Nothobranchius furzeri: one gene and its partner. The protein of the gene in region 2 interacts with the protein of the main gene of each other region in a biochemical or structural test. Links are inferred from orthologs where the notes say so. Each region holds a gene or a part of one and is shown on either strand. Other genes may lie near its edges. The genes, in order: frizzled-7-A and dvl1a.

The links.
Region 1: the proteins of dvl1a (region 2) and frizzled-7-A form a complex in vitro, tested with the Homo sapiens proteins (2 studies listed by BioGRID and IntAct, with this or other methods). The link is inferred for Nothobranchius furzeri from reciprocal best matches to the Homo sapiens genes DVL1 and FZD7.

What each region holds. Positions count from the first base shown.
Region 1 is NC_091754.1:11,118,012-11,129,037, reverse strand, and holds frizzled-7-A, read right to left. Parts: upstream 5,057-11,026; 5' UTR 4,824-5,056; coding exon 3,120-4,823; 3' UTR 2,903-3,119; downstream 1-2,902. UniProt on the Homo sapiens protein: Receptor for Wnt proteins.
Region 2 is NC_091755.1:40,818,204-40,829,244, forward strand, and holds the end of dvl1a (segment polarity protein dishevelled homolog DVL-1), read left to right. Parts: intron 1-1,496; coding exon 1,497-1,712; intron 1,713-5,324; coding exon 5,325-5,830; 3' UTR 5,831-5,862; downstream 5,863-11,041. UniProt on the Homo sapiens protein: Participates in Wnt signaling by binding to the cytoplasmic C-terminus of frizzled family members and transducing the Wnt signal to down-stream effectors. Plays a role both in canonical and non-canonical Wnt signaling.

The DNA of each region.
Region 1 (11,026 bases), on a different chromosome or scaffold from region 2:
CCGCTAGAGGTCAGCACCACACTAGACTGTATAACTGACTCCCTGAAAGTCTCTGCAGTTCTCTCAACATGAGTTTTTTAACACATTGTTTGGTGAAGGGCCGTGTATCCTGTAGCTTTAATCATTTGTATCTCATTTTAGTGGTAGCAGTGTTTTTCATGAATATAAGATTTAGTGAGCATTGGAATAAAGTGACTCTTAGGATTCAGTTTTATATTTCTAGATTATGGACTCATTATTTTGGGGAATAGTGTATCATCCAAGCTCTTTACATATTTAAAATGACTAGCGTCTTAGGGTTTATAGTACTTTGCTTTATTTTCATTTTATTTTGAGGTGTTTTTTTTTTGTACTTTAAGGAATAACTCACTTATAGATGCCAGACGAGTCAGTTTTAGAAATGTATAATGAAAGCTGAGAATGCAGACAAGCTTTCGCACCAGCATCCTGCCAAGACACTAGATGATATTTTTGTTTTTTATGTGCTCCATCTTTAAAAGTTTTGCTGCACTTTGAGGATTTCATGCTAAGAGACATAACTTGTAAATGGCCTGTATTTGTAGTGCCTTCTACAGTCCTGGAACCGCCCAAGGCACTTTACAACAGTCCTTCTCACACTGGTGGGGAAGAGCTACGATGTAGCCACAGCTGCCCTGGGGCACACGGACGGAGGCGAGGCTGCTGACCACCACCAGCGGGCAAGGCGGGTTACATCTCTTGCCCAAGGATACACTGACAGAGACAAACTGAGCGGGACTCGAACCTGCATCCTCCCGATTACGGAGCGAGCACTTAACTCCTGTGCAACCATCACCCCATAATAATGAAGTTGAGCGTAAGCTTGAGGCAGCATCTTTACGCTGGGCAACTTCTCGTTTATTTTACACTAAACACCACAGATGTTGACCAAATACTCCCACGCCAAGGTTCGCTTGCACCAGGACTGTTTTGTCAACAGCTGATTCTAAACTGAACGTATCCGACCACAAACGACAGTCGTCAACACATTAAAAACTTTATCACTTTTATTCAAACTGTACACATACAATGGGTTTATCTCATTTTTAAAAAATACAAGTAAAAAAGACAACAACAAAAAAATGAGTATCCCCATAAATACAATATGCTTTAGAAAATTAGAGTCTGTTTACTCGCTGGTTTGCATATGTTCTGGTACCAAACACCAGTTTTCCTTCTGAAAACAGAACAATACAAACAAGTCAGTCTGGTATTATCGACACCGGCAGACCTCAGCTGCACAAAGACGCCAACAGAATCACTGTAAAACCGTAACGACTGGATGTAAAGAAGTTTTCACCTGCTTTCTAACTCAATTACTTGAGCAGAATGTAACTAGAGCTTGAGGTATGTAGTACATCCAAAAAAGAAATTATTTACAAACTGCTTTCAAATGCAGAATGAAAACTGGTATAAAGTATGCACATTTTTAAAATTAACGCATCTAGATCCAGGGGAGCTTTAGACATTAAAATAACGATAAAACCAACTCTGTAGATGGTCACAACGCCGTGAGGTGTCCCGCGTCGCTGCAGAGTACTTCCATTCCTTATTTTTAAGTGAAGCATGCAACAAAATGTGCTTTTTGACAAGAAACAGAAGGTTCTGGCAGGCATACGCAGCTGACTCAGCTTCCCCACAAAACTCCAGATTTCATTTAGTCAAAGAAGTGAAGTCACATATTTCTAATGTCCACTGAACAGCAGGAAACGCAGACTCCTAATAATTGTGGCCTAGCTTTATTAGTCTTGAGAATATGTTATTATTGCTGACCACTAGTACTCAACCAAGGCCTTTCAACGTTCGTTTAGTACATAACCAACTGTTTACCTGTTGGAGATGCCTCTGTCCTTTGTGATATCTCTACATTGCATTGTCCAGATTAAAATTTCCCAACGTGGCTGTGACCTTTGACCTCCACCATGATATTTCTCTAACACAGAACTTCAAATCATTAAAAAAGACCAGAGGCAGAGAAAATGCATGCAGTTTCTGTGTTTAAGGCCTCTGTAAAGAAGCCTAGAAGCTACAATAATAATAATTCAATAAAAACTGTAAAATGTTCAGTCTGCTTGTAAAGACACTTCATGTGTGATGAAAAAAGGTGAGACGATTACCGTGAGACAACAGGTATGAGCTGTATAGTCAGAATAAAACACCGTATGAGCTCCAGAACAAACACGGATTAAATCTGGATCGCTGAAATTGTGTTTTTGGCGACTTACACGCTTAAAAATGTCTTTTAAACAGGCAACCGAACTGTAGAGGGACCACACACAGGGGCCAACAATGAGCCGTTGTGTCTTAAGGTTGTGCATGTGTGTGTGTGTGTGTGTGTGGTCTCCTCGAAACGAAAGATCCAGGTCAATCTGCGGGGTAACAGACTTTTTCTATACACTTGGAATAACTGTGCAAACTTGAACGTAACTTCATTCATCTTCGGAGTGAACATTCAGAACAGGAGAAAATATTCATCAGTCTGGAACATTAAAAACAAAAGATTTCCTTTAAAACTGCTTTCTGGGTAGCCACTTGGCACGTAGACAAATTCATGAGTGAGTGAATTATTCCAACTATTAAAAATGATGAGATTGTACTCTGCGTTTAAAGCTTTCCATTCTCCAGCTAAAAGCAGAGTAGCTTACGTGTAGTCGAGGCAACGATTCCCTGGAAGCGGATGTGGCTGTGGCTGGAAATAAACCTTTGACCTTCTCGCTGCAGTTAAGACGCACTGCTTGACACGTCAATCTTTTCAGCTAGTGCGCTAAGACACTCAGAAGTGGACGGGGAATACATTCAAATTGTAATATAAGAATATATATATATGTGGATATAAGGATACAGTCCTAGCGTGGCCGATCGTGGTCCAAAAAGTACAAATGTTATGGGGTTTCTGATGACGAAAATAAAAACAGAGAAAGGAATATACCAGAAGTTTTCCCAACTTCCTTAAAATTTGGATGAGTTTTGTCGTGAACTGTTACCACAACCTGGAAACGTGAAGATTCAAATAAAAACAACCAAAAGTGTTGAAATGAAAGCTATTTGACCTCATTTTCATGGAACTGTATCCAAAAATCAGTGGCCTAATAATCCAAACTTCACACTGTGGTCTCTCCATGGTTGCCATTACTGAGACGCTTGTAAAATCTCCGCCAAGATTGAAGAGTCTTTCCAGACCAGACCCAGAACCCGGAGGTCATCCCAACTATCAGGGTCATCAGATATTTGATCATGAACACGGTGAAGTCTGGGGTCATGGGGGCGAAGTTGTGAACTGGACAGGGTACTGCAAATCGCTTACAGGTCTGCATGTGCCAGGTGCGCTCCCAGTGCTCCCTAAAGGCCTGCTCGTAGAAGTAACAGGCGATCACGATGGTGGCCGGCACAGTGTAGAGCACGCTGAACACTCCAATCCGCACCATCAGCTTCTCCAGTTTCTCCGTCTTGGTGCCGTCGTGCTTCATGATGGTGCGGATCCGAAACAGGGACACAAAGCCGGCCAGGAGGAAGGACGTGCCGATGAATAGGTAGACAAAAAGCGGGGCCAGAACAAACCCACGGAGGGCGTCCACGTTGAAGATCCCCACAAAGCACACCCCAGTCAAGACGTCTCCGTCCACCTGGCCCATGGCGAGGATGGTGATGGTTTTGATGGCTGGGACCGCCCATGCTGCCAGGTGGAAGTACTGAGAGTTGGCTTCTATTGCTTCATGACCCCATTTCATCCCAGCAGAGAGGAACCAAGTCAGGGACAAAATCACCCACCAGATGGAGCTGGCCATTCCAAAGAAGTAAAGCACCATGAATAGGATTGTGCAGCCCTCCTTCTTGGTTCCTTGAGCCACAGTCCTGTAGCCATCAGCCTTAAATTTATCCACACAGACAACTTTGTCCTCCAGGAAAAACCCTGCCGCGTAGGCAAGAGCCACCATAAAATAACAGCCAGACAGAAAGATGATGGGCCGCTCCGGGTATCTGAACCGTCTCATGTCCACCAGATACGTGAGTACCGTGAACAAGGTGCTCACACAGCACAGGATGGACCAGATCCCAACCCACAGACGACCGAATTTTACCTCATCCTCCCGGAAATACATGATCCCGCTTGGTTTAGTGGGCTCGCACGGGGCCCCGCAGTCTTTGACCCCCATAAATCTGTAGCCCAGGTAGGGAGGCACCTCCAGCTGCAGGGGACAGGAGAACTGGTGGTAAGGGCTGTGTTGAGGCGGACGATGAATGGTCGGTCGGTCCCCTATGGGTGGAAGGGTGACGGGCTCGGGTGGGAAAGGAGGTGAGGAGACCGGGCTGGGCTCGGATGTGTTCTGGCCCACGCAGATCTCACCGGCTCCGTGCACGGGGAAAGCCTCGCAGCGGAGCCGCTCCGGCCACTGGAAGCCGAATTTATTCATCAGGGCTTCACACCCTTGCCGTGCACGCTCACACAACGACCGACACGGGGGGATGGCCTGTTCCAGCACCGTGCAAACTGGGGCATACATGGAGCACAGGAAGAATTTCAGATCCGCAGAACACTGCACCTTAACCAGGGGGTAGAACTGGTGCACCTCGAGCCCAGCATCCTCCTGGTTCGTGTGGCCCAAGAGATTCGGCATGATGGTCTGGTTGTAGGCGATGTCGGTGCAAAGCGGGATGGAGATGGGTTGGCAAAATCCGTGCTCCGGAACGGATATTCCACTTTCACTGTTGTAATGTTGAGCAGAAGTCAGTGAGAAAGCCAGCCCCCACATCAGCCACACGCACCGCAGCAACACGGAGCCAGTGGTGAGCCTGGCCGCCGCCATGGTTGAAGAGGAGGGGGGAGGGAAAGAAAAACTTTGATCCGAGTGGCGAGACTTAAAAACGGTTCAAAACGGCAAACAGCTGCAACAATTGTCCAAAATGTTGACTCGCGGTTCAGAAAATCAGAGTTAAAATGTCCCGGACCAACTTTCCCTCGTTTTTCATGCAGTTAAATCAAAGAAAATCGTCCGTCGTGTCATGACTTCTTAATGTTCTTTGTAAGTGACTCCAAGCAGTCCACTCTCTCCTCGTCCGGGAAAACAACACTTCGACTCCCGTTTTCCACGAACTAAAGGGTCATGAGCGCTCTACGTGCTAGAGCCGCGCAGCGGTACAAAATCAAACCACAAACGGCCTAAATTTTCCTGCGTTTTCGGCTAAACTTCACGCCGAGTGTCGGCTCACATGATGGGCGTCAGAAGTCCAGAGGCTCCGCTCTTCTCTCTCCGTGCGCATTCCGCCGGTTTCAAGGCACCCGTTCCATTCACCGGACCCCCTCCCATCCACCTGAGCACGGGGTGCCTTAAAACCAACAACATCGTCTCAGCCAATCAGAGCGTTTGTTTTCCTACAGGACTCGCTCCTGATTGGTCTTTACTTCCCCACCATGGGAATATATGCTACAGTAATTACATTACACGAGAGATTTCTCTAAATCAATTTAGTTTTCCGGTGAGATGAATGTATGTTCGTTTTTTATCAATTATTCAAAAGTATTTAAAATAAATAGTATTTAAATACTTCACTTCTCAAGTGGCTAACATTGAATACCATAAATACATTTGTGCCAGAAAATATTCCAATAAATATTTCATGGCCATACGTGGAAATATAAGTTACTTATTACATTATAACAGCAAGTGTTATATATTACTGTAGGTCAGTAGTACTGTAAGTAATAGTAAAACATAATTCATATCATAAAGTCAAAGTACACATCTTGATGAATAATAATTTTATGAATTGTAAATAACTGCAACTTGTGTGTGTTGTCGTCTAATTTTAGCAAAGCACAACTTATATCAAGATAGATAGATAGATAGATAGATAGATAGATAGATAGATGGATAGATAGATAGATAGATAGATAGATAGATAGATAGATAGATAGATAGATAGATAGATAGATAGATAGATAGATAGATAGATAGATAGATAGATAGATGATAGATAGATAGATAGATAGATAGATAGATAGATAGATAGATAGATAGATAGATAGATAGATGATAGATAGATAGATAGATAGATAGATAGATAGATAGATAGATAGATGATATATAGATAGATAGATAGATAGATAGATAGATAGATAGATAGATAGATAGATAGATAGATAGATAGATAGATAGATAGATGATAGATAGATAGATAGATAGATAGATAGATAGATAGATAGATAGATAGATAGATAGATAGATAGATAGATATGTCTACAGTCAGCATCAATAATAATAACTGTAATAATGATATAAAATAACACAGCTTGACATTCATGGAAGACTATTTTTGTAACAGCATGGCGATTCCCAAACAAGGTGATTTCAAAGGAGCTGGAAATTTCCCATTAACTGAAGGCTAATGCATCTTTCAGGCCCTATCTCAGGACCTTTTTTTTCTTATATCTGTTTAAGATACTGCTCGTCTGTCTTAAATGGTTAGTTTTCCACGCCGACTACCATTCCCTTTATCCTCCATTTCACTGTTTCCTGAAACATTTTAGGTGCATGTTTTAAGTCTCAAATAAGCTCTTCTCTTTGTTCTTGAATGATGACTTAAGATAAATAGAGCTGAGAAGAAGAAGAAGAAGAAGAAGAAGAAGAAGAAGAAGAAGAAGAAAATATCATTTCTATAGCGCCTCTCAAGATAAAAATCATGAGGCTCTTCACAAAAACAAAAAATGTAAAAAATATAAAAAAGCATTTAGAAAATGTTTAAAAATATATTTAAAATGAGCAAAAATAGACAATTCTGGTTAAAAAAAATGTTAAGAAAGGGAGAGATTGAACAGGAAAGAGGGAAATCAGTGGATCCTGAGGAAGGTGGAATAGGTGGGGAGAGCAGAATAAAGAGAGAGAGGTGAAGAAGGTCATACAAAAGCCAGCTTGAACAAGTGAGTCTTCAGCTGCTTTTTGAAGGAGACCACTGAGTCCACTGTTCTCAGGCTCAGGGGGAGAGAGTTCCAGAGTCTGGGGGCCACAGCAGCAAATGATCTGTCACCTTTGACCTTTAGCCTGGTGCTGCACAACCAGTAGGCTTTGATCACTGGACCTCAGGGACCTGCTGGGGGTGTGGGGACTAAGAAGATCTCCAATGTAAGATGGTGCTTGTCCATGTAAGGCCCTATAGACCAGAACCAGGATCTTGAAATGAACCCTGAAGTTGACTGGCAGCCAGTGAAGCTGGAGGAGAAACGGGGTGATGTGATGTGGGAGAACAAGTGAAAGCAAAAGACCTTCAAGAATCACAAGTTCCTGAGAAGGAACTTAAAGAAATGGCACATACTAACAACAGTTCTCAACATTCATTTGACTTTTTCATTTCTTCTTAAAATAAGCTTCAGCTTCACATTCACGGCTAGTTTTCTGCAATTGAACAGTTAAGTCTAGACTTCTCAAATGTGCTCCTGTGAAGCTGAATTCCTTCCAACTCCAGGAGTTGTTGCACAGAGCCTCTCACTGTGTGTAGGACTTATAAACACCACAGCACAGTGAGTAAACCGTGAAAAAATGAGAGAAACCCAAACGAATTCAGCATCTGAAACGATGAACAAGCACTTCTACATGTTTCGTTGCAAACAAATAAAACGGGACTCCTTAACCATTTGTGGGAACTGAGTACAACAGCCAAAGCAGCTGTAATTTAGGGTGGCAGCGTGATCAATCAGACCAAAGGCGTCCCAGTGTGGGAGGGGTGGATGGTGGCCTTTCTGCATTTGGTGTTTTCTGCCCTGAGTGGGATAAAAAGAGAGTGGGGGTGGGATGCCATGGGGGAAGGGACAGGAAGAAGGGAAAAGGTCACAGAGGGCAGGGGGAGTAGGAAGAAGAAGCAGGAGGAGAGGTTCAACCAAAAGGAGAGGTCTGAACGGTTTTCTGTGGTTTGGATAACAAAGAAATGGTGAATAACTAAACACACCGACAGATTAAAACTCCCCCAACGCAACAAAACTCAGTATTTCTGTTATATTAATTACATTTAACTCAATTTTAAAGCTGTGGGTCACTGGAAAAACAGTTTTTAATTATCATTTCTGATTATAATCAGTCACTTTGAGTTTTTCATGCACTCTGAACATGAAAAACGTCTCCTACACCTTCCTCCGGCTTTAGCTCCCAATAGAAAATAGACGGTGAAACTCTAGGATGTGAAAAGCCTGACATATCTACATCACACTGTCACTTAACATTCATGGACTCACCCAACTTGACTCGCGACGTTGGTTTGGCATCCAGGAAAGAGCAGAGAACGTCTTGACTAGTAGAAGCTAACCGTTAGCATTAGCAAATCCACCACACGGCAGAACAAGCTTGTATTATTTGTGGAGATAAAATATCAGTGTTGCAGAGCAAACCGAGTCAGTTTTAGAGTCATGTTGCTGTTAACCAATCAGCGGCTAGATGTCCAAATTTCAAAAAATAAGACTCCAAATCCTGCCGTCTAAAGCTCAGCTCTGATGTGGCTCACTTCTAGTTCCTAAAACATAGTGCACCGGAGCTTTGTTTCCCCTGAGTATAACTTACAAGGTGATTACTCCTAGACCGACTGCAAATGTATTGGTTAAACGAGTGAACCACACCTTTAAGTTTCTGAAAGGTTTAATTCCAAAATGTTTCCTCAGCAGACAGTTGTCTTGGATCAATCAAGAGCTGCTCATGAGTGGAATCTGAGCCAAATAAAATGATTTGTTTTTGTCTTTATTTTTGCAAAAATGTCTGCAAATTGCATCACAGCCTAACAAACACATCTTACATCTTTGGCTCTTTTCTACAAGGCAAGTCATTTCACGCCAAAGCAATTTCTGATTAAATTCACACATTGATTGAAAAATAAAACATCCCATCTCATTTGTGCAAACAGCAGTTTAAACTGGAGCCAAATGTTTTTGGTTTAGAACCGCGTGATGCTAAATGATGACAGCTGAATTTTACAACAGCTGAAGATCATTTGAATCTGTTCTGTGGTGATTTATTTGAGTTCTGTAGTGAATTACATCAAACCAGCCTGACGAAGTAATTTATGCAATAGGTGCCGATTCACATCATTCATAAAAAAGCATGTGAACGGACTTTTGGGAAAGTGTTGCAGCATTGCAAGGCTTTGTCAGTGGTGTAAACCCAGCTGTCAGTAGCTGCAGTGGGTCAATTGGGACACGCTTCATCATGTGGAGCTGGAGCTGTTTGTTTGTGGATGGTGTCTGCAGTGGTCAAGCAGCTGGAGGCCGTTCAGCGGGCTTCCAGACAGTCGCTGTTTGTACTGCAGTCTGCTGGAGAAAGAAACAAAACAAAGGGGGTTAAACAAACAAGTAAACTTACAGCGAAGCACGATGAGATCTACACAGTCACCGATTTTGATGGTTTGGACCAAGTTCGCTCCATTCGAGCGTAACCACCATGTGAAGTATTTGAGCTACCATGTGAAACCCAAGACTGAACAACTATTTAAATGTTGAGCTGAGGTGGAAAAACACAGTTTAGTTTGGTTTGGGGAGATTTTCAGCTTAGGGCATGTTGGCTGACCAAGCTGGTCTAACCAGAATGTCAAGAATTTCTGACAATTACATTTATTAATGGTTTTTAGGTGCAAAATGTGTGTTTAGAAAGCCCAGAGATTCACAGAAACATCAGAATTGAAAGAAACCACTAAATTAGTATTTCATTGTTTTATTTATTGTAGTGCACATTTATTGCTGTCATATTTGAATGTTGTGGAACACTAAAAAACATTTTTAAAATCTTATTTCTGATAATAATCAGTCACTCTGAGTTTTCCATGCAGGCTGAACATGAAAAAAGTCTCCTACACCTACCTCCTGCATTAGCTTCTGATAAAAAACTCTGGGACTAGAAAATCCTGACAGATCTACGTCACACTGTCGCTTAACATTAATGGACTCACCCATCTTGTCTTGTGACGGGGAAGGCTAGCCTAGTGAACTAGACCAAATTCTTGCTTTGCAAATAATACATTTATTTAGTCTGGCTTGCCAGGCTGGGGGAAGGCTGCAGCTGTTTTTTGTGCTGTGTTGATAAAATTGAAAATCGATTCTTATTAAAATTCCAAGAATCAAACTGAATCGATTCATAAGTCCAAAAATCAATTTAATTGTTTTACAAAGTTTGCCCTGTTTACAGCTAAACTTGGAAGGAAAAGTTCAGGTGGCCGTTTTAACGTTTAGGTCCAAAAGAATAATACATCCCCCGGTCAACTGTAACTCACCCAGTGTCGCATCATTGAATTACGGCCATAGAATTAAGGTAACAGCTCAAAAAATGTTTCAATAACACTAAACCATACCAGTATCAAACTGGAACAGATAGAATTGGACTGGACCGTGATACGCTGGTGAAGGTCATGGTGATCCAAGAGGGTTCAAATGAAAGCAACTGGACTTCTTTGGGTTTTTGAAGAGATGTTAAAGGCTCATCGGGGTTAGAGAGGAGGGTTATTCACAATAGTTTCTGCTCATTAAACAACAGTAGATAGCTACAGCTTGTAAGCTTGACTTTCCCGTATTTCAGTCAGAATTGACGAAGCTCCTCGGGTGAGGAGCGAAACATCTTCAAGAAACCAAAGAAGTCCAGATGCCTTCTGTGAACCCTTTTGGATTTGATCGCGATAATCGATTCCAGGGTTTCCCCCAGAAAATGGGTTAAGCCTGGCGGATTCGGCCGTTGGGGGGGGGGTGTCTGTCCCGCAGCGCTCCTCCGTGAGAGCAGGGGTGGGGGGTGGGGGGTGGGGGGGGTTTGCACACGTTCTCACCAGTATCAGCTGATGGAGGGCTCTAGTTTCGTTGCGCTGCTCGTGTCAGCGCTTATAAAGTGCTGCGGGAAACCCTGGATTCTAACCCTAGAGAATCAGAACCTAATCGATTCTCGAAATTTGGATCAATACCCAGCTCTAGTTGTTTTGGCGTCCAGAAATTAGCAGAGAACGTCTCCGCCAGTAAAAGCTAACCATTGGCAGTAGCCACTTCACCACATGGCAG
Region 2 (11,041 bases):
AACTTGTTTGAACAAACTGAGACTTAATTAGGTTTCCAGGAAAACTGCGATTCGTTTGCAACTACAACTAGGGTTGTCACGGTGTGAGAATTTAACCTCACGGTTATTGTGACCAAAATTACCACGGTTTTCGGTATTATCGCGGTATTTTTTTAAACGTGCTACATTTTCACACAATTAAATAAACCCTGTATATCAGGAAATATTGTCCTCAGTTTGTGTCTAAATTTAGCCTAAAATGTGTTATTTTGTAATTATGTTGTTTATTTGTTTACATTTTTCCCCTTTAGTCTTTAAAATACCAATATTTGCCCATAACTTCTTACTTTTTGTCTGTTTGATGTCATCATTTTAAAAATATTAGATCAGGTGATACTCAGTACTCAAGTAGCCTTCTAATCAGATACTTTTTTACCCTTACTTGAGTAATAAACCCTATATCAGGAAAATATTGTCCTCAGTTTGTGTCCTTCCAGTGAGCTTTGCAGATGTGGGAAAATGTCATCAGGCAGTAATCGTTGTTAAATTCATAATTATTCTCGGAGAGAGACCAACTCTTATCTGCCCCTGGGAGCCCCGTAATGCATAGCGTCATTTCAACATGGCGGTGTCCGCGACACGGTTTATATGCAGGTAGCGGCGCTGCGGCTGCTTTATATAGCCACTCGTTGCTTTCTCCCTCAACCCAAATCCTCGGATCACGCATTTTAGCTAAAACGCTAACGTTAGCTTGCCTTGCGTTGACTGTAGAGTTGTGGGTGATGGTCACGCAGATGTGTCATGAGATTTGAAGCGTTGCTGCCTTTCACAGACACTTTTTCTGCACGTGCTGCAAACAGGATAGCCATCTTCTATCAGCTGTCCCTCGGCATTCTTCAGATATCCAAAAGATGCCCGTACTTCCCACTTTGTCTTCTTTGAGGGATAATAAATGTCCGGAGCGCTGCCGTCTCCTCCTTTGGCCATTATTTCAGCTTTAGCTTCAAGAAAGTTTTGGCTATAAACAACAAAGTGCACATGTGCTGCCAGCAACTTCAGCAGACGATACGGTGGCTGGTAAGGGTCACCGCGCCTACACCGCAGCCACGGTAATCCACCGAGATTTTTTATTTTTTTAAAACAAGACGATTATTATTATTGTCAACTTTTTTACCGGGGTTTACCGCTACACCGGTTACCATGACAACCCTAACTACAACACATGGTCGTTTTCAGGGATCTAACAGGTGCTTGAAATGTATAGAAATGAATTTAAATGTGGTGAAAGTGAATAAGTTATTACTGAATGTGCTGAAAAATCCTGAAAACTTGCCTGAGAATGCTTGACGAAAGCTTGAGTTTACTTAGTCGTTAGGTGTGGAACGTGCACACTTGGTCTGATTCACACAGTCTTGTGTCTCCAGCTGGTCTCCAACAGTCACAGCCCAGTGCAGTGCTGGCCTCCACCTCTCACACTGGTTGTGTCTGGAGTGAGAACTGTTCTCTGTCTTGTCTAGACATGGCGTCACTCAATTTAAACGAGGGATCCAGTGGCGGAGGATCTGAGCAGGACACTTTGGCACCTCTACCTCCCACCGCCAACCCCTGGCCTCTGGGGGGACAGCCGTTCCCCTACCCTCCTTTTCCCTCGGCACCCCCGAGCTTCCCGCCAGGCTACTCCGACCCGTGCCACAGTTTTCACAGCGGCAGCGCAGGCAGCCAGCACAGTGAGGGTGAGCACTAAAACCTCATATCTCTGACGTCTGTATTAACAACTGTCTGACTAATGTTAGCTCCTCTGGCTCTCTGAGCCGCTGCCTTCCCCCTAGTTACGTTTGTGTGTTTCTAAACCGCGTCCTGTGTTGTCAAGGTCAATCATGAGCATCATGGGTCACGCAGCGGACAGCTCTGCAGTACTGGGTGTGTACACACACACACAAAAATAAACCCGATCAGCCGTGTGATTCCAAATCATCAGTGATTCCATCCTTCTCTATCAGCCCGTCAATCATCTGCTTTCATTTTGGATCAAAATGTGATGCTGCTGCATGATTTTAATGGTCTGCATTGAAGGAGGAGGGTGTGCACATGCCTCAAGCTATGAATATAGCACTTGAGGCAAAATAATTCAGAATTACCACTTCAGCATCTTTGCTGTCCTGTCCTGATATGGTCACATGTTGCTTTCACCTTCTTTATTTTGATTTTCTGCAAATAAATAAAATCATTTCAGTTTATTTATATATCATAACACGAAACATTTCTAACATTCCAGTTGAACCTACTGTACATTATGTTCACTTCATATGCCAACTTTACAGTGATCTCCATGCTAAGCAAGCTTGTAGCGACAGTAGAGGGGAAAACTCCCTTTGAACACAACCTGGCAGCCGTCTGCCACGACTCACTGGGGGATGATTGAAAAATGCTTAGAGGTAGGGCTGCTCAATTAATCAAATTTTAATCACGATTACGATCTGAGTTTTGAACGATTATAAAAACAAAACAAGCCGATTATTTGCTCCTCCCACTTGCGCTGCCCTGAGTTGCAAATGAAGCGCTCCTCCCACAGTGTTGCCAACTTAGCGACTTTGACGCTATTTCTAGCAGCTTTTCAGACCCCCTTCTTGACTTTTCAAATCTTAAAAGTACCTAGTGAACACCTCAGAAACATCTCTGGTAACCCTTAGCTACTTTCTGGATAACTGTCGTCGACATTTCCTGCAGGTTAGCTAAACACTCCGCCTGTGCTCCGGACCGTTCATCAGGACATTAGGAAAGGGAATGATGCAGTGATGTGTCGGTCGCTAAAGAAACGGCTCTCAGAGCCGGCTCCTTGTTGGAGTAACCAGAGTGAGTGACACACACCGTACCTGCGGACTCCTGAGCCGCTAAAAACTGCTAAATGTGCGCGTGTGGCGCGCTAAACACACATGCAGCTTGCCCCGATTGCTGTGAGACCGGGGTTGGGGGGTGGGGGGGTGCAGCTGTGGTTGGGACAGTTATTACATTAACTGATGGACTTGTAAATAATTATTTATAAATAAGGTAGAAATAAGTTCCTCACGCTGATAAATAATAACTAATCTCTATGAGGACACGGTGCTAGTGCACTCTCCTACAGCACCTTGACACGACTCAATAAATGTTATGCAACATTTTGTGAACATAAATTTATTTGTTATAAATGCTACTGTATAATTCTTGCTGTCAGTATTTGCAAGATATTGGTATTTGGGTCTGTACTGGTTAGACTTACGTGAGTTAAACCAAGGTCTACAGCCTTTGGGTCATAAACTATGAGCTGTAAGTATACTGGTCTTTTTACACAGGAGTTATTTTAGTGATCATCTTGTTTCTTATTTTTGTCCTGATTGTGCCCTGAGCAATTTTATGAATGAATAAAAACAAATAAAATCAACATAAATTGAAAAATCGTCCTAAATGATCGTGATCCCAATTTCAGTCACCATAATCGTGATTATTATTTTTGCCATGATCGAGCAGCCCTACTTAGAGGTTTAGTTTGTTTTGGTGCTCCTAAACTTAAAGGGATATTTTAGCAAACGGTTTTCATTGTAAAAATGATAAATATTTATATTGTAGATCGCTTCCTGAACAGCCTTGTTCGAGAAAGAAAGAGTACATATTACAGGACTGACTAGCTAGTGGCTAATGTGAAAGAAGCTAAAAACAACGTTTATTATTTAACTTAAAACAGCTCCAGTCTTAAAAAAAAGTCCTTATTTTTGCACCACCACCACACGTTGTTTCACAAGGACGTTTGTGGTGGTTTAAAACCGTAAATATCAGGAGTAGCTTCATGTAGCCGTGCATCCAGGGGTCGAGTCCCGTGGACGTTTAAATGTAGCGGCTGTGTGTGACGGGTAACACGTCTCAGTACAGACAGAAGGACCGGGAGCCTGTTCAGGAACGAGGGGCTGCGACCTGGATGGGAGAGAGGGCGTTTCAGCTCCAGCAGCCTCCTGCTGCCCATGGGCACGGAGGAAAGCAACCCGCAGCAAGCAGCGCAGCAGTGTGCTGTTGTTGGCTAAACCAGCAGCGATGACTGTGATCAGGAGGAGATTGTTGTCACGTGTGTGTGAACGGCTGTGAAATTCACAAGCTTGGAGGTTGGAGATGCACTTTGGCCGAGGCTGCTAGGGCCGTCGAACATGAACCATTTCTTCAAACTGAGGTTTTGATGGAAGCCTTCTGCAACTTAGAGGTGACTCACAATGCCCCCCCCCCCCAAACTGCTAAAAATGCCCTAAGACTCCTGCTTGTTTCATTGTGTGCATGTGTTTGTTTAAATTGTTGTAGTCAGAAGAATAAAGCAGGACCGCTCGTGTTAGTCTGAAGGCATCGGAGCAGGTGTAGTGCCGTGTGTTGGTCAGCGTGGGCTGGGAGGTGTGTGTAATCCTATTGTTCCCTCTTGTTTCTGCTGGGCAACGTTAGACTGAAGGAGGAGGTAGTCCCGGGACTCTGGGGGAACCGGTAAGCCTGCTAACCCCCATCCTCCTCTTCTGCTGCTCTCTGTTTCCATCCAGTCTTTATTCTATCCCTCCTCTCTCTCTCTCCTGTCCTCAGCATCCTCCACCTATCATACTGCAGCTTTAATCCCCCCCCCCCGCCTCATGATTCCTCCGTCCATGTGTATCCCGTGTGTGACTCTCCTGACAGTCGATGCTTTCCCTCCGCACCTCTGGGCATGCGTTTGAACTGTACTGGGAGGTGCATGAAGCAGGATGACGAGTCTCAGGCTTGTGCTGGGACGGGACAGCCATGCACCACTCTGCCCAGTACTGCAGACGTGGAGGAGGTGGTTTAGCAGAAGCATGGTACACCTCCATCAGTCTGGGAATTATCAGCTGTTAAATCAGATTTGATGTGAACCACGACGCACCTGAGACAAAGTTCAGATGAGTGGCATGTCGCTGATGCTGGTGTACCACTGATCCTGATTATCCGTGAATGTGGTGGTGTTTGTAAAACGTCAGATCAGCTCATGATTAGTGGCAGTGGGTGAAACCTTTAGGATAATCATTTCTGCCCTCGACGCTCTCTGGAGCACTTGGGGAAGTGTCTGGTCACACCTTAAACAAAGTGCTTCCACGTGTTTCATCGGTGCGTTAAACTGTATGTTGGAGTTTTTACACCAGGACGTGTTCGTGTGGTGTGTCGCAGCGGTTGTTTAACGTGTGACCTCGTTTCTCTGCACTAGCTGGTCTTGAGTCACGTGTGTCCGATGAGTGGCTCTCGCCGCCTTTTCTGGGGTGTTGTGCGAATGCCACAAAAGATTTTCCTAAAGTGTTCCCTGTTGTGTTGTTGTTTTTTTTCCTCAGGAAGCCGAAGCAGTGGATCCAACTCCAGCGCAGGCAAGGACAGACGCTCTCCGCAGGAGAGGTGTCAGAGGACAGCATGCAGCGAACCAGAGCCCGGTGTTCGTGGAGGGAGGCGCGGTGACCGGTCCGCCAGCCAGATGAGCCACCACAGCCACGCCCTCTCCAGCCACAGCCACGCCAGGTCGAGTCTCAGTCACAGGAGCCCCTCTTTCTCTCAGAACAATCACCCCCCCTTCACCTATAGCCACGCCCCCTTCGCCCAGCCAAGCCCAGGCTCCTGCGCACAGAGCGAGCGGAGCCACGCCTCCTCCTACGGCCCCCCAGGCCTGCCTCCCCCTTACTGTCTGGCTCGTCTGGCTCCCAAAACCTCTGTCAGCAGCAGCACCCCCCCTGGGGCCCCCCCTGGGAGAGAGTTAGCAGCCGTTCCTCCTGAGCTCACCGCCAGCCGCCAGTCGTTCCAGCACGCCATGGGCAACCCCTGTGAGTTCTTTGTGGACATCATGTGACAGGACAGTGCCTTTAAAACAGAGAGCACAAACCCCCCCCTCCTCTTAGCTTCCTGCTGTCTGATGTCCACAGGAAGTACCTGCTGTGTTAGCACAAACAGCGACGTCGCCACTCCCAAAGCACAGGTGCTCTGCTGAGGAAACCAAGCGACTCTTTCCTGTTGACGTGTACAGTCTGTGAAACGTGAGTGGTGTTCAGTGCGGTGACGTCTTTAAAGCTGCCATGCGGACATTCTGGGGAGGTTTTTCTCTACCTGGGATGTTTTCTGTTCTGCGGGACCTTTAACGTGGCTGGGGCTGGATCTCAATCCTCCAGACCTGGGTTGTGTGCCGACTCATCAAACTCTTGTTTCTGTTGCCAGCAGGTGGTCTGAGCTCTCCCCGTTCAGCCTGAGCGGGTCCTGGCCCGGCTGTCAGCCAACGGCTGCTCAGTGCGTGACCGTCTTAACTGCTTTAAATAAATTTAATGAATTAATTTTGTTTTAAAGTATTGTCGGCTCCAGAGGGTGAATGCGTACACTGGATGGCGTTGTGGTGTTATTTATGTGTTCATGTTGCGTTGATTTGGTTTGCCTTCAGCAGCTCACTGACAGACAATCAGACACCACACTCTGTGAGGCCGGGGCCGCTCTCCACTGACGTAGCTGTGCTGCGGTGACGGCACCGTTGCTGCGGACGTTCGCCTGCTCGCGTGCCGATCACCAGTACCTGCTGTGAGTCAGTGAGAAAAGCCAAAGGCTCACATGGTGTGGTGGGTATTTCTTAATGTCTGAGCGGTTTCTGATGCCAATCTTTTATTTTTCATTTACTCGTTTTAATTTTGTGATCATCACATCTCTACCAGTTTAAACCGACTTCGAGGGGAATCCCGACCGACAATAACAATGGCAACCCCGATTTATTCACTTAATCACACACACACACACACACACTTGTTTTATGAGCACTTATGTTTTTGTCTCCCTCCTTTTAGAATGAAACACTGTTTGCAATCAAAGCTTTCTTTAATTTTGTTTCGCAGCAAAAAAGGAATAAATTGTACATAGAAAATTATATATGAATTAAAAATATATATGTTCAAAGATGTTTAATTGGTGCTTTTTTTAATACCTAAAATTACCAACTACAGTCATTCATACAGATTTAGATTTTATATATGAACCAAATGTTTGTTCTTCCATCACACACCGCTGGTTTTCAAACCAGGGGTCGGGGCCCGATTTTGGGTCATGCAACACAAGGCGTGGGGTCTGGAGCAGATCTACACGGGACTAAATAACTCCCCAGTGGCGCATTTACACTCAGGTCCTTAAATATTGGGACATGGACACTGCTAACATTTTTTGGCTCTATGCACCACAATGGATATCAAATGAAATGAACAAGATGTGCTTTAACTGCAGACTGTCAGCTTTTATTTGAGGGTGTTTACATCCAAATCAGGTGAACGGTGTAGGAATACAACAGTTTGCACATGTGCCTCCCACTTGTTAAGGGACCAAAAGTAACGGTACAATTGGCTTCTCAGCTGTTCCATGGCCAGGTGGGAGTTATTCCCTCATTATTATTATTATTATTATAATAAAAGCTGACAGTCTGCAGTTAAAGCACATCTTGTTCGTTTCATCTGAGCGCTTATGTTTTTGCCTCCCTCCTCGTTTCACTAGAAACAGGCTCGACTCATCTTTTTAGCTTAGCTTTTAACTGAATACTATCACTTTTTAATTAATGAATTTAATTATTTAGGTTATTTATTTATCTAATCATTATTTATTTAATGTATTCTTTCTTTATACGTGCTTTTTAAACAGTTTTTTACCTTGATTTATGATCAACATTTTAATATCTATACAACTTTTGAGATTAAAATTCTCATTTTAGCTCTTTTGATTTTACATTTTAATCTTAATTTAACCTTTTTCCAGTGCTTCCTCTGTGGGAGCCCTCTGCCCCGGGAGCGGTGGTCAGCTGTGGCAGCCTCGGTGCTTTCCAGGTGTGCCTAGGTGGAGGTGGGGGTCTCTGCCCTCCCTGCCCTGGGCGCCCTGTGTCAGTGCCTCGGCTGCTGCTGTGGATCTGCTGCTGTCGGGGCGGATGGCTCCCCTGATGGTGTTTCCTTATCCTTATCTTAGCTGGTCTGGCTCATCTGATCTCAGTCAATCGTGTTTTTTACCATGGGGAAGGGGGCATGTGTGTGCCGGAGGATGAGTGTTGTGAAGGGTTTTTATTGTCAGACTGTTTTTAAAATTTTGGGGATGGGAGGGAATGCAGGGCCTTTTTAATCTGTTAAGCACTTTGAGTTGCATGTATTGTACGATTAAGTGCAATATAAATAAAAGTTGATTGATATCCATTGTGGGGGTGCATGGAGCCAAAAACGTTAGCATTGTGTCGATGTCCTAATATTTATGGACCTGACTGTAGCATAACTGTTGGGAAAAGCTAAACACGGAAGTCATAAGCTTACTTTTTAAACTAACAGTTGGATGTGTTCACGCTTCACCACGCAGGGTCACAAAGCCGAGTTTTATCATGTAGATCCAAAACTTAAACGTTTGTCAGTTTGAGCTGACGGAAGAAAAACTTCAATAAAATGTGTTAATTTAAAAAAAAAGTTGAAATGTTTGCATAAAAGGTTGGTCTTTACTAACAAATACTCCATTCATGCTTTTATTTATTTAAATAAAACTTGTTGCTTCAAATGAATACAAATGCAAAGAGGACTTTTGTAGGTTTTAACACTAAATGTTAATTGTTTGGGATTTTTTTTATTAACTAGAAAAAGCTTTATGAAAATGTAAAAGTCTTGTGGGAACTCTAACGTATGCGTGTCTTTCGTAAACCAGTAAGGATTAAACGGACCTGTGGGCCGTTTGAAGGTAAAAACCTAGATTCACCACTAGGTGGAGACATTCTGCTCTAATAGATCTAAACTGTTTAATAGGAACAACTGTAAATAAGAGCATTGGTTTTGGACAGATGGGATTAAATCATTGGAGTGATTTTAAATGAAATAAATGTTTTAATTAGTAGTTTTTTTTAGTCTGATCAGCTGATGTGAAGAAGCCGGTGATGCTCTTTAGACGGTGATGTGTCGGTGTGTCATCAACATCTTATTTACTGTACAGCTACCACCTCTGTGTGGAACTTCCAAACACCGGCTCGGCTGCGTGTACTTTCCTAGTGGGCAGATGTTTCAGATCACTTTACATCACACACACACACACACACACACAGACCCCCAGTCTGCTGACCCACCAACCACACACACACACAGATGTGTGAATGAGATGCTGCGCTCCCACACATGACGGGGGCTGGCAGGAAGGAAGTGATGTCAGAGATGCACTTCACCAACACAAGCAACTCCAGATCAGTCAGTTTGTGTTTTAGAACATGATCACATAAAATATTCTGTTTCTAAAAGTTGCAGTCTGACTCTGGCTGAACTTCATGTCAGCCTACATGCAGACACACACACACACACACACACACACACACACACACTTTTACCAGCAGGCTGCATATGACGGCGGTCTGGCTTACCGAGCAGCAACGAGCGTTTCCCAGAGCCAGTATGGTAATCCAGCTGCTGGGAGTTTACATTGCCTCACAGCTGCATGTCTGGGGGGTGGGGGGGTTGAGGGTGAAGGGTAAGTGTGGGAGGTAGCGGAGTGTGCGTTTGCAGAGGTGCTGACTTTTGACACCAATGTCTGCTGTAATAGGTTGTGAGTTAGGCGGACCGCTGCTCAGAGCTGTGTGCTAAATGTCATCTGATCATGAGGCATCATGAACGTGATACACAGCAGCAAAGCGCTTACTCACTGATGCTTCTGCTGTGTGAGCGGTGAGCTTATTGTGCTGAGTCACCTGTGATGCCATCACAACAACAAAATTCCCAAATGGGAAGCAGTTCCCTTTTCAGAGAAATTAAACAACAGCGTCGGTGTGTGGCATGATAAGGCGCAGGTTCCCCTTGAAACGCGGTTTATTTTCAGTTTTGTTATCTTCGAGGAGTTTCGCTCTTGGTGGATTGAAAGTACTTCCCTAAAAAAACAACAACAACAAACCTGTGTTGGTTTGTTATTGTTGTTTTTATTATTTAAATGGCCTCCACCGTAGGTTTGTGTCACAAAGGTAAAATGTGTTTAACTGGTTTCTAAACTTTAAACTGAATCAAAAGGGTTAAAGGGTCTGAAACTTAAAGCTAAAGGACCCCATGAACAAGTGGGGACATGCTCGGTGCAGTAACCCCCCCCCCCCCCCATGCACCATCATGTTGACATTTCATGGTGTTGGCTCTGAGTTACCAGCTCTGATCATCAGATTGCATCAGATAAAAACCATCCAGCTGAACTCCAGATAACTTTTACCCTAAGCTGACCTTTCCCCGAAGAGTTAAACGAGCTGAGCCAACTCATCAAGTCCTCAACCGTAATTCGAACCACCTTCCTGGGAGGGGTTCTGAACGAGACAAAATCCAAAACCGTCTGACTTAAAATTTGGTATGGGAGGAAAATGTAGATTTATCTGCAGTCTGTAACATTTATTAATACTTTTGATCTAAAATTTCCATTTTAAAACATCACATTCTTGAACAGATGCTGTAAACTTTACATTTACTTGTTTAAACGCTGATTTTAAGGTTATTTGTGAAGCGAGAACGGCTCCTGGCTCCAGGGAAAAGGACAAAAGACACCCGTTTCCTCCCTTCGACCCACCTGGGACAGGTAATGGAGAGATACACAACACAGCTGAACCCAGATGAGTCTGGTTCTCAGGGTGGATTTATGATCTAATCCCGAACTTTCTGACCACAACTGTGAAACCTTATCGGAAGGAAGCTGTTTGATTAAACCTCAGCAACTGTCATCTACCAAAAATAAAAAACAAGAAAAGAAACCAAGACTCATTCAGAAGCAACACAAAAGAGAGGAAAACACTGCAAACTGATGGTATCGGTCATCTAAGAACATCCACGTCTGGTTTTATCAAATCATGAATTAATTGTGTCAAAGCTATTTTTAAAGGTTGTGTTATTTCTACTCTTGATTTGTTTGAATCTTCACGGACTCCTCCTCTGGGCAGGAGACACGCCCACTTGGCTTTAATCAAAACCACAGCTCAGCAGGCAGTGAGATGCGTGTGTTTGAGGTAGAAGTTCACAGAACTTGAGTTCAGTTAAACGCGAGAGAGCTCGGAGGAGATGATGAC